Linked DNA regions of Neodiprion lecontei. The protein of the gene in region 1 interacts with the protein of each later gene in a biochemical or structural test. Links are inferred from orthologs where the notes say so. Each region holds a gene or a part of one and is shown in the gene's direction. Other genes may lie near its edges. The genes, in order: serine/threonine-protein kinase Pink1, mitochondrial; BAG family molecular chaperone regulator 2.

Region 1 (7,459 bases):
TGCTTTTCCAGTTCCTTGCGGTGCTCCAACTCTGCTTTTATAGCCTATCGAGTGAAATCATTGCATCTATGTATCTAGTTTGCTGCATAATGAGTAAATGAATCTTAAAAATTCATTAAACAAAGAGGTTATCGACTTACCGATACCGTGTCTGGGAATAATTCACAAAATGTACTATCCTTGAGGTTGTACTCAAGGCTCTGCGATGCCAACAGCCTTTTTTCATAGTCTGGTGTCTCTATGCTGCCCAGTGTCGGGCTCTTTTCAATCTGTGCGAAAACAATATCCATATTTCAACAGTTTTCCAATATCTCAAAACTTTTAATACATTGTAAATATTTGAAATTTTGACTGAAACCAGCAACATGTCAACAATAAGTAGAATATGAATTTTTCCATTTGTTTTAAGTATTGCAACAGTTTTTGAAACAATATTGGCGAAAACCTTAAAAAAAATATGCAATTTCAATGTGAAGTACTAGCACATGGGAAATGTACTTTACTGAAGCCTTCTTACCATGAAGCTAAGGAGACCGGTGAGAATGGTGGAAACACTCCATGCCGGGTTCCAAGTGTCTGGATGAAAATCGGATATGGATAGACAAAGCCGTGTGTTTACTTTGAATCTGCCGTTTGGCGTGGTCATGTATATGCTAGGTGGTTTGAAAGGAAACTCCCGTGGAAATACGAGCTTTCCGTGATAAAATCCACCCTCGTAAGGTGTACTTTCCGGACCGTTGACAACATAATGCCTGTAAGTATAAAAATAAATAAACAAATCAATTGTCTCGTCGTAGGCTTGCAGCCTGATTCAATGCTATACGTCGACTGACATCAATATTGTGCAAATGGATGAATTGTCAATCTTTTACGCACGCGAAGGATCAAAATAATGTTATCTTTATTACCATTCTAATATATTCGAAGGTACGGGTTCAGCTACGACGTACGGCACCGGGTCCTTTTTCAGTCTCAAATAGTCTTGCTTTAATCTAGCAGTGGCAGTGTTTGGCTTTCTATTCATTATTACCATATATATATAAACTAGGCTGGGTTGATCGGTACTATTGGTAATGGAAACTTCACTGTTTTCACACTTGTATTCACGAATGAGTATTAATTATTTCTCACATCAGGCTCAACTGTTTTTCGTGAGACACATTACCGCGATACAATTAATTACATGTATACGTATAACGTGATAACCTATTTTCGTAGAGGAGTCAGACGTCAGTTTTGACGATGAAAAAAAAAAATGATAAAAAAAAAAAAAAACCACGTCAACGTTGTAAAGGTTAACTGGAATTTGAGCGTTTGGAAAATACGACTTCACGGTACACTCGCAGAGTTTTGATAATACCTGGCTAAATACGGGGCGAATATTATTGCGATTGTTAGAAATCAGGAGTCACAACGAATGAAAAAATATCCTTCGACTTTGACAACCAACAATTTTCACGGCACACAAACATATGATGGAAGACCCGTATACCGGAAGTGAAACAATCCAGCATCCTGCGTAGTTGACTTGTGCGCTTTACGCATGACCATTATATTCCAAGTATCGCTCATTGTCAGGCGCACTTTCGTCATTCGAATCGTAAATACGGATCAATTCAGACTGAGAGAAGTTGGTTGACTGGAATTATTTTTCTTTATGCGTGTCCTCGCACTTCGCCAAATGTATCATCAGTAGACTGAACAGATTTTACAACGCAAGTTTACCTTTATAACGCCACAATCGCGGATGTACTTGCGAACTAGGAAGTATGATAAGTATCTATGCTATGACAGAAAAATTAATTATACTTATACCGTTATATTAGCGTTGTTGGCGATACGATTTTTTTGTCGCATTCAGCTTCACTAGGTACCTTATCCGAAAGAAGGAAAAACCCGCGAGTAGTATACGTCCTGTTTCCTGATTTCATATTTTCCCGCGCTTTTGCGGATTTCGAGTCTGCGCAAAATGGAGGCTGATTTCACCCAATCGGGTCCGAAAGGCAGGTTCATCCATGGGTATGATAATTGCAAATGGTGAACTTTGAACTGGCGACAAAAGACGTGTTCGAATTCTTTTAAAAATAATTAGAGTGTTCCAGGACTCTTGATAATTGCGCGATCAAAATTTTCCAGTTAAAACTCTTCGCGTCTGGGTTAGGGCCCGCCCGGGCTCTCTCGGCCCACGAGTGCGGAGAAATGTCGTTACGAACGGTAGCGCAACGTCTCCTGCAAAATGGTCGTGTCCTTCTCCGTTCAGTACGCAATCCACAATATTACACGCAAGGCAACAAAATACACGTTGTGGAAGTAGGTAAGGGCCTGTTGTCATCTTCTACCCGTGACTATCATACTCAAATCGACTCGACACATCAATCTCATCAGTCCGGTACCAATTCGCTGGCAATCGTCACAAATAACCATGTCACTATCATTAGGTTATCCCTTGCAACGTAACGGCGTATTATAGGTATGTCGTACTTGGAATGTATATGTAAATACTGCATTCATTTGAAACGTCATTTCCAATCTCAGAGCTGGTACGAATCGTTGTTTTCATTGTCTTTTTTTTTTTTTTTAGTAAAATCACTCGAGGCACCTTCATTGTTGCGATTATACGCACTTCCAAGTTTTGTACAATTTTATATACTCAGCATTTTACATGTGATTATATACGTTTAACGCGACTGGTGCTCATAATAATGTTAGATTTTACTCCCGCTTCAATTCAGTGTAGAGTGTATTCTCATTGTTTTATTCCATACTTTCGACTTGAAACATCATTTTATGCGAGAGAGTAGGAATAAATTACTTTCATGTTGAGAACAACACAAAGAATTACAGAATCAAAAGCAAACATTCTTGTTTACTATCATACTTATGGGACAATTTTTAATTCAATTCAGATTTTTATGTATCAATTAGTTAGTTGATTGATTACTAATGAACAAGAATTCTTGACTCATAATTAATTTCTTCTTCAACTATAATCTAATAAATATTTCAACACCATAAAATAAAAATAAAATTTCTTGCCAAACTATGACTAGTGTATTTTGAAATTCTTGATTCAGGTAAGACCCAGGGCCAGCTGCCTACGGGTGGTAATGTCTCTGCTGCAGGGAGACACCTCGGATTCCTGGGACTCCATGCTCGGCGGATATTTGTTGACAATGTTTTGAAGCGAGTGACCAATAGTCTCGCCGGAGATTTACGACGTCGTGCAGCAAAACGTTTATTATTTGGAGATTCAAGACCATTCTTTGCTCTGGTTGGCGTATCGCTGGCATCTGGTACTGGAATACTTACCAAAGATGACGAGCTGGAAGGCGTTTGCTGGGAAATCAGAGTATGCATACTTCCAGATATTTTTTTGGAACATAAAAATTAGATGCTCTTACAAACAAATTTCATTTTTTGCAACACAACTTCTATGAAATTCATATTTTATCATGTCATTCAAAGGAAAAAATAAACCCTTAACTAAAGCTTCATTAGACATGGTGATGTCATCTACAAATGGCTCTTATTCAAATGTCAGCTTATTTGTTATTATTATTCAGACTTTATGTTGTTTATAAATATATCATTTTTCCAAGTTCAAACTTAGCTGGCATTTATAATTATTTTGTAAATGGGATTTTAGATAGTCACATGTGAGTTGAATGTTATTTCAACACACTTGTTTTTGTAAAATTTAACTAATGAACGATTGTGAAAATTTTCTAGCCACGAAAAGGAACGCTAAACCGTCTGAAAATCGTCTATAGACTGTAATAAATTTAACATGTTATGTAATCAACTGTTACCTCATTCATAGGAGGCTGTGTCTAAGGTACAATGGAACACTCCAAAAAACGACCAGAATTACGAAGCAACAACGATTGAAGACAATCCAGTTGATTTAAAGGATTTTGTAATTGGACCAGCAATAGCCAAAGGATGCTCAGCAGTCGTGTATGCCACTCGTCCGATTGACCCCGAAGAAAAACAGGATTCTCAAATTACTGTTGATACCAGTAATAAGGATCTGTCCAGCTTTCCGTTAGCTATTAAAATGATGTTCAACTATGACGCAGAGTCTAATGCAACAGCTATTTTGAGAGCTATGTACAGAGAGACTGTACCAGCTAGAAAACATTGTCAGAATGAAGAACTGGCTTTGTGGGAACAGAAAATGGCTGACAACAAAAGAATTCTTTCTCCACATCCGAACATCGTTGCTATGTATTGCGTTTTTGCCGATAGAGTTCCTGATTTACCGGGATCATCGAAAATGTATCCTGACGCTCTTCCACCTAGGATTAACCCGAACGGCTCTGGAAGGAATATGAGCCTCTTTTTGCTGATGAAAAGGTACTTGACAATATAATCTGGGAGCTTCAAATTTCCGGAATTTTGCAGATTCTGAAAAATTGGATCAAATTTATTGGTATTTTCTAAAATTATAAACAAGAGAAACACTTGGGAAAGGTATACCTAGAATCATGTGTGTCATGTTACATGTTATGTTACAACGAAATGAGATATCAATATAGTGTATCGATTTCCAATGACAATACGGGTATTGTATTTCAGGTATGATGTTAGCTTGAAACAATATATGGTGGGCAGAGAATTAATCGTTCGAAAATCGATATTGTTGTTAGCACAACTATTGGAAGGGATTGTTCACATGTGCTCAGCAGGTATTGCACACAGGTAAGGGAGTCAGTGTTGGATTACGTTTTCCACTTGGTGTAGACGAATATTTCTTATATCATGCACCGTGGTTATTATACCAATGGATGACTTAATATTTGTTCATTAAAAAAGAATTAGCGTGAATTCTTCATGCTGCTTTTAATTTACGTTTTGAACAACAGATAAAAATGTGGTATTTTTGGTTACACGTAATGTATGTTTATTAATACAGTGAAATTTTTTAATACAGGGATCTCAAAAGTGACAATATTCTTCTGGACCTTTCAGAAGAACGTGATAATTGCCCGTCGTTGGTAATAACTGATTTTGGATGCTGCTTGGCAGACAAAACTCATGGTCTCTACCTGCCATATAGTTCTCACGATATTGACAAAGGAGGAAACAGTGCACTGATGGCTCCAGAAATCGTTAATGCTGAACCAGGACCATTCACTAGCTTGAATTACACAAAAGCTGATCTGTGGGCTGCAGGGGCTATTGCATACGAAATATTTGGTCAGAAGAATCCATTTTATGGGGAAAAAGGGCAAAAACCACTGCTGATGAACCACAGCTATATAGAATCGGAATTACCGCCACTTCCAGAAGTAATACCACCTGTTATTGTAGCATTGATTAAGAATATGCTTAACAGAAGCATGTACAAGGTATTTATTTTGTTAAGGGAAGGAAGTGTTTTCAAAAATTCATCAAAACTAATATCACTTCTATTTCCGTTACAGAGGAATAATCCCGATATGGCGGCAACCATTATACAAGTCTTTCTCTGGGCACCAAGCATTTGGTTAAACAGCGACAGTAAATTACCGTCAAGCAACGAGGTGATAGTTGTTCTACTTTTTGAGCTTTAAATTTCACGCGTTGATGTACTGTCATTTTTATTATTATTATTTTTGTGTTCAAGATTCTTCAATGGCTTCTGTGTCTCACGACCAAAGTTCTTTGCGAGGGTCGAAAGATCACTGATTCTACGCCAAATCAACTTTCTCAGAAATTGAACGCAGATCTCATTTCCAATCGTGAATATACTCAGCAAATATCTACCCGATCATGTGGACGTCGCACAATGCCCGAGTATCAATTGATAGCCAGCTTTTTAAGTAGAGTTTCACTGATAAATGTAAGAGATGCGTTGAAGTGGATTCATAACCACACTTAAACTCTAGTATTATTGGAAGGAAACAAGAGATGATTCTTAGAGTATTGTATACTGATGCATTGATAAAACATGATATGCTGGTAGAGATCAGTTGTGCTTTATCTCTTGAACTTTGATAAATTTTATTTATTTCTTCAATAGTCTTCAAAACTTTACAAAAATGTTGGTTCGGGAATCATATTACTATTGGGTATAACCAACATGGTTACACGCTATTGCAATACAAGGCAATCCTTACATTGAGAAAAAATGTCGAAAATGAATTTCTACGTTACTTCCAAGACACGTATGCCTATTCATCTTACTGTACATAAATTTTCTGATTTAAGGAAGAATATTTTTTCTTCTCTTCTGTAACTGCGCGAAGCACAAAAAATGGTACTGCAGAATAATGTTATGTCAGTCTCTTCTTTTTGGTGAAAGTGCCTTTGAAAAGGATGTACAGATATTATCAGCTTTATTTTTGAACCTATTACGTTGTTTTTCAAATTTTATTCTACTTATATCATTGTTAATCCACAACAAGTATTTTGAATACGTGAAAGAAATAAGGTTCCTTGAATAAACAATTTGTCGTATTATAAAATTGAGCACTGTGAATTTTGCCGTACCAGCAAATATCGATGAAAGTCGCAAGATACTGCGGAACTACTCGTACTTCGCGATACACTTGATTGTATCGAGATAAGTAAGAGCCTGTTGAAATATTGAGTTCCTCATGATGAATTACATAACATTATTTATTGCAGCTTGGTTAAATATCTCATAGAAATACTAGTCGAATATTGATAAAGAGTATATTTCTCTAAATTATCGTGTTCTGAAATCTAGCTTTAGGGGAAATTATGTTGAATTGGCTGTTATTATTTCATTGTATTTGTGAAAACTTGTATATGAGATGTAAATATCGATTTGAAGTTGAACTAGGATCCAAATAGAGAATACAAATATACGTGGAAAGTGCTCTTAAGTATCTATCTCATAACTATTGTACAGATTATATAACAGTGCTAACAATACATACATAAAATGGTTATATAATTTGGGACTAGAAAACTATCCTGAAGAATATCCTGCATATTTGCATCTCGTGTTTATTAGTTCTAACAATCATTTTTTTTTCTTTTTTATATCTAATGGATGAACTGGCTTTCCACTTCTCTGCATTGCAAATTTCATGTCTTCAATGTTTAAACCCTTTGTTTGAGCCAAATCTTCCAAGTATATGAGGTATTCTTCGAAACTGATGGCACGTTTGTGAAATTTAAAAAAACACAATCCAGTGTCAGTCGTTGTGACTTTATGCATATCAAGAATTTTAGCTGACGCCAGCCATTTATCGCTTTGCGAAAGTGGCAGCAACTTTACGCCTGTCGAATTGGAAAGTGGATCCATTCGACAGTATGCTGAAAAAGTGTCATAAGCTTTTATCACCACAAAACAGTGCGTGAAAGCAACTGTAATTTAGAGGTAATATGAAAAGAAAAGTCAATATTGATTGAATTACCTGCGAACATGACATCCAAAGGCACTTCTTCCACTTCCTCAGTTATTCTTAGTTCTTGCATTCTTTTTTCCACACTGAAATTTATATTT
Region 2 (4,735 bases), on another chromosome or scaffold:
AAATTACAAGTTGGAAATGTAGCCAATCTTGTAATTTTGTTGACAGTACTTATCTTGACAAATGAGGTAAGCTAGTGAATTCATGATAACAGTTTATCTGGCTTAGTAGTCGTGATGAATGGCCAGCTTCTATTAAATAATTTTGAAGTAAATGAAGGCAAGGAGTGTGTCATGTACATACGTGGAATTTGTGCTTTAATCAACTTGCGGTCATTTTGCAAATCGGTTAAGATTGTGTTAACGTTAACTTATCTGGAATCGAAATGCTGTCTGGAGAAAAATCAAGACCACGTTTACTGCGTGTATAAAAACTTAAATAAGGTTGATCAACAATTGATGTTTGCACGAAGTAAGAACGAAACCCGAGTTAGTAAATTGGGGCCGAAGGATAATAAAACTGAAAATGGAAAGATTGTTACATAAAGGAATGACGGGCAAAATAAGTGTTCAAAGTGCAAAATTCATGACAGAATGCGTGATAGGTAACCTAACTTACCTAGAAAAATGTAAAGCCGGTCTATCCCGATCTTTTGTTCAGCAATTGCGAAAACATTTGTCCACGGTTTGCTTTCATCTCGCAATGCTTTATCCAACGATTCTTTTATCACTGCTATTCTGGCCATTTTTGTTTACAGGAATCTGTACACCTGCTTTCAATATAAAAACCAAAGCGTCAATCGCCGTCAGCGGGTTGATACTCAATGCCACTCAATGCTTTAGTATAGGAATCTTATTCGACACCTATTGCGACACATTACCACCTGAATCGAGCTGGGTGATGAAATAACTAAAGATTAGTAAAACTTCTGAGTTTTCCCCCACGTTTGTTGGTAATACAATTTTTTTCGCAGCGCACTCTTGAGAGATAAAAGTAAATAAATTTTCATTGTTTGCTGTTATTAAAATCAGTCCTACCACTCTTACTAGCAATTTCCTTTTCAACATTTATTTTTGTCGCTGTGGTAATAAAATATCATAAGTTTTCAACGTAGTTTTCAATTGGTTTTCAAATAAAAAAGTGGAAGGGGAAACTTGTGTCAACCCGCTTATTACCATCGAAGGTCTTTTACCGCCGCTTCGTCTTTTTTGGGCTAGCCTTAGATGTAGCTGGATCTTACCACCGGCAGGGCTACATACCGGAGAATGACAATAGTAAACGGCAACTTGACAACAGCCTGAAATCACCATACAACATCACATAACACAACTGGACCAATGTAATGAAAATATACACCATATATATTTATAATATGCCGACTACATTTGATTTATCGATTCTCAATACAGCCGTTCAGTGTGCAGATTTGTTATAGCACTACGTAATAGATTACCGGCGGAGTTTGCGAATGCGGCTGGTTGTCGTTTGACGTAAATGCAAATCTCGTACACAGCTGAGCCGGCACGATTCTTAAATTCTCAATATTTTCGAATAGGTTTACATGCAAAGCATAGACTTATAATTCTACTTATATGAAGCAAAGTATATATACTTTGTTCGTATCAATTGCGTGCCATTTTATGCGCCAGCTCTGCGCCTGTCATTTTAACAATTTTGGCGGGATATTCGCATAATTTGTATACAATGTGTAATATACATACTAACAGCAACTATCATGCGTTGACTGATATCATGTGTATTCACGTCCGTTTCTCCATTTATTATCCATAAAATTTTTACAATCACAGCTGCAGTCGGCTGCATTTTTGACCGTACATAAATAATAACACCTCTTATTTTCTGCATAAGCATGCACAGCAGCCGACGTACCGCCTTCCGTTAGATCGGACCAATGAAAGACATTTTCTACTCGATACGCCAATGCGCCACATACCAGTGTCGCACTCAGCAGTTGGTACCGAACTTTCGCGATGTTTCCCATCGAAAAATTATACATACATATAGGTGCTGAGTACCGATTGATTGTCAGATCCACGAAGGCTGTCAGATCCAAAGGAAATGAATTATCACTCGTAACGTGTTGTTCCACCGGGTCGTAAAATTGTGAAACACTATTTTTTCGGAAGTTTTAATAGACGTTAATTGGAATTACGGTAAAAGTGTCGTCTCGAAGTAATTACGAGTGGGAGATAATAGCCAGTTTGCAGAAATCATGGACAACAAACAGAGAGATAGGTTAGTCAGTATCCTCGATCAGGTCGAGGCTCGTGTTGAGGAGTTGAGAAGAGAAGCGTGGGAGCTTGAGGAAAAGAAAGAGAACTTATTAAGCACGTTGGACGCGCTTCAAAACAACGAAAGTGTATTTGAATTAGTGACCGGTAAGTTTGGATCGAGTTCGGTAAGTTCGATCCATTTAAATCCGTTGACAACAACTATGAACAGAAAATTCTAGAGGTTAACGGAAACAACAGGAATCCCCGAGTTCACGTTGCTACGAAATAATGAGATAACAACACGTAGTAAAGAATTTTTCCAAAATTTCCTACTGCTGTAATAGAAAAAGACAAACCTGTAAACAAAATTGTGTTTTCACCGTGAATTGTGAAATATTGCTATGATTCTTTCTATTTCATATCTAACACCATTATCCACAATCACTTTTAATCAATTATTTTTTTATTCTATAACCGAGTAGAGGAGAGAGAAGAAATCATGAGATCGGTGGAGAGGTTGTGGGTGCGGACCTCGACAGTTGAAATCCTCATTGAAACTCAGCGAAATACAGATCAAGAAGAATCTCTGCACAAGGTAGGAAAGACTTTTTTATGATTGATGTTTTGCTGAATGAAAATCATTATACGTAACCATTAAACATCCTATTTTATCTATGTTTTTCCACGTAATTACGCAGTTATTTTATTTGTTTATATTTATATTTTTGTAACACAATTACTTTTTTAATTAGTGAGTAGGTAATTAATTTCCATAATAAAATAGATGTAACAGACCACTGGCTTGATAGTGGTTGACCACTGGGTGGCCAGCTAACGTAATCGTCACTTTTTGATGGCTTGCATCAAGACCAACACTGCCTGCTTATATGTCAATAATTGATTATATTACTAGGGTGGTAGAAAATTTAATATGTGGTAATAGTTTATAATACTAGAATAGGATTTTTCATATCTTGAGAGACGTACGATTTCAAAACCGTTGTTAAGGCATTTGCTGTAGCATGAATTGCTGGTGATGAATATTCGATATAGCTAACATATTTAGTGAAATTTAAAATGATTTATTCGGATATTCTACATCGAATTATTTATAATTGATAATTAACCAGTGAAAACTATTCGTCACAATTTTTTAGTCCGTAGTATATCTGATCCGATCTGACGTCGTATGTTTTGTTACAGGTAAATGATTTGATCGACAGCTTGGTCATCCAATTGCAAGAAGATCCCCAGGCTACACGAGAGCGATGTAGGAGGTTCATGAGTGCTTGTACTTCCCATGGTCCGGAATATTCAGAACAAGTTTTCGAGTCTGCCATTTTAGGTTGTACTTTAGATGATCAAAAGCGTATCAAAAAAAGACTGCAGGGGCTGCTAGATTACATTAGTAAGATGCATACAATATAATTTTAACGAATATACGTTTAAGAGCTTATTGAGAAGATTTCTCTTTACTTTGACTTTCGAGCAATCATATTATATACCATCATGGTCTTTAACATAGTATATTATTAGAGTTCCATAGCAAAGAAGCAACATTTTCAATGAAACATTGCAGATATCATTTCCTCATAATTGATCAACCAGATTGCAGGTGTTCCTCAATTTCCTAGAGAACAAGCTAAACGACAATGAAGAGAAAAGTTCGAATTTCATATTTACGATTGTAGATAAAAAGCAACTCTGATAACACATAGCTAACGTATAGAGCATGAAAATATGAATTACCATTCAGCTACATTAGAGGAAGAAATCAAATTTAATCTAAATCGAAAGTTTGGTCTGTTTGCTGTCAGTCCGTTTTCTGTACTTATTTATTACATGTAATGTGAAAAAGAAAAACTACCCAATGATAATTCCTAATTTAATTCAAATACTTGATATTACACCACGACAAATTAAAACATATTAAAGAGTTTGTAATACTTTTGATCTGTTGAATAATAGGCACAATCGTCTGCAACGCACGTATTAAAAGATTTTTTTTTAAATTGCGACTTCCAGAGAAAACGGAATTATTTTTTTATTCAAATATAAATAGAATAATTCTTGAATAGAATAATACTGTTTTTCTAATCGATTAAATTAAAATCAAATTCAAACCTGGTGCGAGAAATATAGAACCTGTTCCTTATATTTTTACAATTGGTCGCAACTGTTATACTATAAAAGTTGTATCATCAATTGTTAGCTTAGGTATACATGTGTGATAAAAGGTTAAAAAAAATTCGTGAAAAAAATTACTTCGTCATAATCTATAAATTGATTGCGACTAAATCAAATTTATTTCGACTGATAAGACGTCATAGAAAATGACGATTATTTCAAGACAATGTAATGTCTCTTGTTATTATTAAAAGCTGTTATACAATTGGGAAGACTATCGAGAGTCATCAAGTCTTGTTACATTGTGTTCTAGCATAAAAGCCTTATTTTTTTATCAAATTCCTAATAACATATGTAATTTTTATCCTGTAATCTTATAATAAAAGCGTAGCACTGGGCTGCACTCTATGTGATAGAGTACGAACATTTTTTCTTTTTTATACGGATATGTTTCACAGACATAGTTGACCTGCTATTTATAATCCGTATACATTAT

What was found.
Region 2: the proteins of serine/threonine-protein kinase Pink1, mitochondrial (region 1) and BAG family molecular chaperone regulator 2 form a complex in vitro, tested with the Homo sapiens proteins (2 studies listed by BioGRID). The link is inferred for Neodiprion lecontei from reciprocal best matches to the Homo sapiens genes PINK1 and BAG2.

What each region holds. Positions count from the first base shown.
Region 1 is NC_060263.1:37,178,806-37,186,264, forward strand, and holds serine/threonine-protein kinase Pink1, mitochondrial, read left to right. Parts: upstream 1-2,014; 5' UTR 2,015-2,199; coding exon 2,200-2,314; intron 2,315-3,074; coding exon 3,075-3,349; intron 3,350-3,820; coding exon 3,821-4,356; intron 4,357-4,578; coding exon 4,579-4,701; intron 4,702-4,933; coding exon 4,934-5,351; intron 5,352-5,426; coding exon 5,427-5,525; intron 5,526-5,608; coding exon 5,609-5,863; 3' UTR 5,864-6,833; downstream 6,834-7,459. Other genes in the region: ubiquitin-conjugating enzyme E2 J2, read right to left, coding at 1-44, 141-269, 518-752, 909-1,033. UniProt on the Homo sapiens protein: Serine/threonine-protein kinase which acts as a sensor of mitochondrial damage and protects against mitochondrial dysfunction during cellular stress.
Region 2 is NC_060264.1:8,009,775-8,014,509, reverse strand, and holds BAG family molecular chaperone regulator 2, read left to right. Parts: upstream 1-1,874; 5' UTR 1,875-2,111; coding exon 2,112-2,277; intron 2,278-2,594; coding exon 2,595-2,707; intron 2,708-3,315; coding exon 3,316-3,540; 3' UTR 3,541-4,113; downstream 4,114-4,735. Other genes in the region: receptor expression-enhancing protein 5, read right to left, coding at 497-623. UniProt on the Homo sapiens protein: Co-chaperone for HSP70 and HSC70 chaperone proteins. Acts as a nucleotide-exchange factor (NEF) promoting the release of ADP from the HSP70 and HSC70 proteins thereby triggering client/substrate protein release.